2 linked regions of the Drosophila melanogaster genome follow. The protein of the gene in region 2 interacts with the protein of the main gene of each other region in a pairwise test. Each region holds a gene or a part of one and is shown on either strand. Other genes may lie near its edges.

Evidence for each region.
Region 1: the proteins of CG18731 (region 2) and CG13838 interact in a two-hybrid assay, tested with the Drosophila melanogaster proteins (2 studies listed by BioGRID).

Annotation. Positions count from the first base shown.
Region 1 is NT_033777.3:23,040,015-23,043,184, reverse strand, and holds CG13838 (uncharacterized protein), read right to left. Parts: upstream 945-3,170; 5' UTR 853-944; coding exon 577-852; 3' UTR 516-576; downstream 1-515.
Region 2 is NT_033777.3:29,723,122-29,726,487, reverse strand, and holds CG18731 (uncharacterized protein), read right to left. Parts: upstream 1,462-3,366; 5' UTR 1,315-1,461; intron 1,266-1,314; exon of another isoform or gene 1,251-1,265; 5' UTR 1,234-1,250; coding exon 874-1,233; 3' UTR 798-873; downstream 1-797. Other genes in the region: Naa40 (N(alpha)-acetyltransferase 40), read left to right, coding at 1,622-1,992, 2,049-2,286; Pcd (pterin-4a-carbinolamine dehydratase), read right to left, coding at 2,342-2,641, 2,900-3,050, 3,132-3,259.

The sequences.
Region 1 (3,170 bases), 6.7 Mb from region 2:
CATATCTGATTAACAGGTTATACCGCTCAGTCTACTACATATACCATGCACCAGATGCCGCGGGGCACAGACAACAAGAAGTAAAAGAAAGGACCCCATATGGTGCCGACGGCTCAAGTGATTAAGTGCACGACGAGATCTTCAAATGCAGTGCAACATGTGCACAAATACAAAACACACACACACACACACACACACGCATATTGAAAATGTATGTAAATTCTAATTAAGATTGTGGATGAAGACCCCCAGCACCTTGATACTTCTGCTCAATGCGCATTGCGCATGCGCAGCCCCGCATCCGAAGATCCATAAAAATAGCTCACTAATTATTTGTGTGCTAGGGTTACAGTTCTCATAAAAAACAAACAAACTGTCGGGCGTTTTATGGATCTTCTGCCTCTATGGCCTCAATGCCCCCGCGAAGTTTTCGATCCCCATTCGATTCGAAACCGAAGAAGAGCTACGACCAATCACTTTTCAATTCCTATGAGCAGTTGAGCATCAATTGATTTCGATATGAAAATAAAATACATTTATTTATTATCACATTACGTATCACAGCCATTCGCCCGCCTACGCCCTGGCATCTGGATCGCCACATCCATCGTGCGGACCTTGTGCCGGCATTTCCGAGCTGATTAGCCTCCGAATCTCGACCAGAACCCGGTCCGTTCGAGCCTCCAGGTTGTCGAGGGCGGTGTTTAGGTCATCCAAGCTGGAATTGACTCTGGCCATCAGACGCTCCGAGTTGTTGGTCAGCTCGATGAGGTCATCGAAACTGCTGGCCTGGCGACTCTCCATCGATATCCTGTCCAGATCCAGCTGCAGCTGCTCATCGGCGCTGTCCATCTGGGCTTTAAGGGCTGGGAAAACAACTTTCGATTTAAATTTAAATTTTTTTCACCCTAAATCATGATTTTCGGTGTTATTTTGTGCCATGCGATCCGAAGTGTAAAGCAAATTTGACTTGGTTTGTTTTGCTATCGAACATAATTAAAGTTGCTTACCATAAACCAATTTAATTTAATTGTAATTGCAGCTAACTGGCTTTTGGGTACTTTTGCTTTTAACGCCAAATGTGAAATATTAAGTATATTTTATTTAAGCGATGGCACCTGTAAATTGAGATTTAAGGGGTATATTAAATGGGTGAACTTGATGATTTTTTTTTTTCATCAAACGTTTATTAAAGTCTATTGCTTAAAAAAATGAAAGTAAATTGCTTGCCATTTTAGGAGGATATTTTTGAAAAATCGTTACAACTTTTCAAATACAATAAATTAAATGTTTTGAAAAATATTTGCGCCCAGGGCACCAGAAAGTCCACTCTTCTTTTTCGACTATTGTTTGTTTTGCTTTGTTTGTAATTGGCGAGCTATTACAAGAGCTACACTCGTTCATTTCATTAAACCCATTTACAAAATGGCTTTGTCCATTATTTATACATATCAATTATAAATTTGTGCGCTGCGACTGCAATATTCATATTCACTTGTCAAAATGTCAACTCAAAATAGAATATTTATGAATTTTTATGTGTGCATATCGGTCCGTGATTTGTTTGTTTTACGCTCTCCTTTCGAGAACTCTTTGTTAGCATTCAGGATTGGGTTGAAGTAAATAATAAAAAAAATGCAGCAACCAGAAAAGAGGAGAAAATGACAATTCAGCCTATAAATACGCGGCGGCAACCGAAGTTGAAATCAATTTTTTTGGCCCCATACTGCGGTGGTCGCGTTCCCCCCCACCCCCGCACCAGTTTGGTACTGAAAATTGGAAGTGGGCTCCACCGAATGCGGTGCCACTATTTAGTTTAGCCGCAGAACAAGGTGCCTCAATTTATTTTTAATTGCATGCAAATTGAGCCAATCGGCCGGCTGATGGATGTGGTTGCTTGTCCAACGATGCGGTCTTTTTTTTCGGCTATTAAGAGGATGGACTGCTGCTCCTTTCTGTTTCATCTGCTGGCTTAGGCATTTTCACTTAATGAATTTTCATTCAAAGTGACTGCTGCAAGGATGTGTCGTCCTGGCTGTGAAGTGAACTTCCTGCCATTAACCGAACTGCTGCTGCTGCTGCTGCCAGCATGGTGGCCAAAAAGTATGCCTCTGTTGACGTTTTCTTTGTGGTTGGCTAAAATCTGTTATTATTGCCATTAAGCTGGCTTTTGTTGTCATCTCTCCGGCCTGCCTACATACGCATACACATACATCTATGTATGCATATGCATTTGTGCATTTACCCTGCCGATATCCTTCAGCTCGAGTGGTTGTGTGGATTTTCCTGGTCTTCCAGCGGGTTAACTTGGATCTGTTCTTGAGGTTGTTATCACTTGGTTATTGAATTTTCCGCACACACTTTACAAGCTCTAAATCTAAACGGCTCAACTTGTTGCCGCCGCCCAGTTTGAAAACGTTTTTGTTACTGCTCGTCGTCATTAGTTGAAAAGCGCTCTTAGTTTGCCTCGTTTGTTTGCCGAAAAGTCTCATTGTTGCCACGTCTTTGGGTCCGGCTTCTTCTGGTTCTGTTGTTGCTGCATAACGCAGCCTGTTGTTGTCATCAGGTTGCATTTGCGTTTTACACTGTTTTGCCCAAATAAAGGCATATAATTTATGTGTGTGGTAGTAGTCCTGGTCGTTGTGCCACGTTGAATGTCCTTACCGAGCTTATATCCGAGCGGAGAATACTAAGTGAGCTGCAGCTCCATTGTGGTCCATAAACTTTGTCACGCTGTGTAGCCTCTTCCCTGGCTGCCGGCACTGGTTGTGGCCATCCTGGCCGAAGGACACTGCTTTGGAGGCGATTGCTCAGGCAGGACATGTGTGCCCCGCATCGCTGCCCGTTATTGTTTTCCAACTTTTCACTTTGGTTATGAGATGTCCGAGCGCCGCAGTCAGTTGCACGCTCGCCTCCATCAGCGTCGTCTCCATTCTCCATGCCGCTGACCACAGCGGACAACGTGGACTTTTTGACCAAGCTGGTCGTGTTCGTGCCCCGAGTGGCATACACGGCAAGAAACTATTAGGGAAGATTCAAAAAATTATTGAAGAAAACAAACTGGAACAAACTGGAATGGTGCCTTACTTGGTCTAACCATCTGTCTACATGATATATATAACATAACATAATTAGGAATACCCATTTCAAAGTGTAAATCCTCAAGATTG
Region 2 (3,366 bases):
ACTGCTTCCCTCTCTTACGCGCAAACCTATTGGCCAATGAAATTAAATGCATTCTTTGACAACCGTTTAATTGGATAATTATTGTTTTTGCCCAACAATCATGCGTGTGTGTGTGTATTCTACCTGAGCTTTGGGCCAAAAAAACCCCCACTGCTCTCCCCACTCTTTCTACTCGTTGCTCGCTGTTGTTGTTGCGCTGGTCGAAAACCAAAATAAAATACACGTAAAATTCAATTAGCCACAAATTGTTGCACTCTTTTTTTCCGTTTGCGTTAATTGGATTTGCGGAATTTAGCCAAATATATTGGACCAAACACACACCACACACACACAGGGATAACCATCGACCTCCGTTAATGGCGTAAATGGTATAAGCCAGTCGCAGGTTTTTTTTTCTATTTTTTTTTTTTTTTCGTTGTTGCCACGGCCTAAAACCTGTTCTTCTGCCCAATCATCCAGGCCTAAACCGAGCGAATTTCACGACTAATCGTGCCGTTTTAGGACTTTCTGATCTGTTGATCTATGTTTTGATTAACTTATTTGCTTGGCTGCTTACTTTTCACAGTCACTGGAGCAATTGCATTACAATTGCTTTTTCTGCGCTTTTAACAACTTTTTTCGACCACCTTACCATCCACCAAGCAGTGTGACCACACCGCGCATTGACCGTTAAAATGTCAGGCTCAGAAAAATACACCTCGCGGTTGAAAAATATACCGCAAACGTACTTTGAGCTGAAGTTCTAGCCGGGACTCGAACCACAGTGCAGTGGGCCTAAAGTGAATATTCTCAAGATTGTGGAGTTTTTAGGTTTTACTTGTTACCCGCTCGTGCATTCAACAATAGTTTAAGATAAGGTAGCTTAATGATAGATTAACATTTAAGGGCTTCTTTGACCAGTGCCTGCTGCTTTTGGATGTCCGTTCTCAGTTTATCCGCGTTATTTTCCAGCTTCGCATAGCATTCTTTTAACTGATTTCGTTGGGTCTCCAGATCTCCCACGGTGGCCGACAGTTTCTTCACCTTCTGATCGTACTCGTCGAACATCTGCCACCATGTTGAAAGGGGAAGATTCTCTGGTTCAGTCATGAAAGCGTGCTCCAAGTCCAAGTTGTCTGTAGATCCGCTTATCGTAGGCTGATTGACCTCGAACGTTTCCATGTCCGCCAGCATTTCCTCTACACTGGGAGCCGTGGGTGGAGGCTCTACTTTGGGCCTGGACTTCCTAAACATCGTCTGTTTCCTTGAAACTACAATTTAGAGAACTGGAAACGTCAGCACTTGTTGAATTGGGGATTCAATATGTGGGGTTACCTGATGTATCGAGTCTCGTAGTCTTAGTGATATTAAGGTTAATTATCGTACTAACAATTTAGTCTAAAACCCGTATATAAGCCGTAAAATGGAATTCAATAAATTTTCTGCAATTGTTTACAAAACAGTGGTAAATAATGAAGTGGCCAGTAATTATTATTTCAAAAATACCAATTAAAGTTAATCTGTGTAATCGATAGCAGTCTCTATATAAGCAATAATAGTTTGTTTACCACTGTGTGCCATCCCTAATTTGCGCGGCATATTTTTAGTCGAATTGCCATTTTTACAAAATTTTAAGCAAACAATGCGGAATCAGGACGATCTAAGTCAGGGCGCCAAACAGAGATTTGTGGAGACGGCTGCCAGGGCCAAGAATCCCCTCGAATCTCTGAGCTACCAAAGCTACAAAGCCCCCAGCGGAGAGGAATTCAAACTCATCTGCCGAGCGAAGTCGGATGCGGACTCCAAACTGCTGAAATGGGCCTTTAAGCTGGCCGAGACGAACGTGGGACCCTATTACAAGCAACTCAAGATGGGCTGGCAGCCCAAGATCAAAGCCGCCGAGCTGAACAAGAACTGGGCTCGCTACTTGGTGGCCCAGAACGAAAAGAAGGAGAACGTGGCCTACGCAATGTTCCGCTTCGACATGGATCACGGGGACTGTGTCCTGTATTGGTGGGTATTCCATAAGTAAAGCCCTTATGCATTAATTACGTAGAACTTCCTTTCAGTTACGAAATGCAAGTGGCTGCAGAGTATCGTAGAAAAGGCCTGGGAAAGTTCATCATGAGCACTTTGGAGGACTGCGCTCGCCTGTGGCATCTGGAAAAGGTCATGCTGACCGTTCTCAACAACAACGAAGCCTCCATTTCCTTCTTCAAGCAACTGGGCTACGTCAAGGACGAGATCTCGCCAGATGTCCTGGAACAAGCCGACTACCAAATCTTTAGCAAATCGATGCTAAGCTGAGTATTTATTGGACACCGAAGATTATAGATATTTAGCAACTAGTATAACAATGCGTTTATTTCAACAAATTGGCCGTGGTCTCCAAGTGCGTGGCCATGCGAATGTCCTGCGAACTGAGACCGCCCACGTCGTGCGTGGACAGGGTCACGTCCACCTTGTTGTAGCAGTTGAACCACTCGGGATGGTGGTTGATCTTCTCGGCCAGCAATGCCACGCCCGTCATGAAGCTGAAGGCCTGGTTGAAGTCCTTCAGCACGAACTGCTTGAAGATGGCGTCGCGCCCCTCCACCAAAGTCCAGCCGGCGTCCAGGAGGGGCTGCAGCTTCTCGGCGCGTTCCTGTTCGTTTAGTCGTACCTAAAGGGCAGCGAGCAACAAGTATGTGAGTGTTATTGATTCATACGATATATATACAAAATAATTTGTGAGCGAAAAACCTCCATTTCTGGCCAAAATCACAGTGATTCTATTTGTTAGGGCATAAAGCACTTTCCGAAAGTCCAAACCTGTCCTTGGGTGGTCGATTGATTTCAGTTGGAGGCGATAAGGGAACCACTCGATTTCGCTGAGACTCCGTTCACCTTGATCTCAAACTCACTTTCGGCTCGTACTTACCACCATTTTGCGCTTTTTCGCTGTGATTGCGGTTGCTGTTGCTTCTGTGGTTGGGGTGTTGTGGATTCTCCGGAGATTCGCACTGCCACCAGTTGCTGCCCGTGCTGCTTCTCTCGCTGCTGGCGAATACAGAACTGAGATTTGCGACAGGCTGCGCGAAAAATAAAGCTCAGATTTAAGTTTGGTATTTTTGCCCCTCCCTCCCCTTCCGCACATTCCACCTTTTGAATACCTTCTACTCGTTGCTGTTGTTGCAGTTGTGGGGAATAAACCAGCTCTGCGGCTGCTGGCAAGCAGATTGGCCACTTTCTGGCAGTTCGGCTTAATCACATTCTGAGCGCATTTAATTGTTAACAACATTTTCGATCCAAAACTCGTTTGTTCTTAGCTGCTGTTTTTGTTGCTGTTGCTGTCGGCGCGGAACAGCTGACTTGTGTCGTATGTTAGCTAACATTGAGTTAACATGG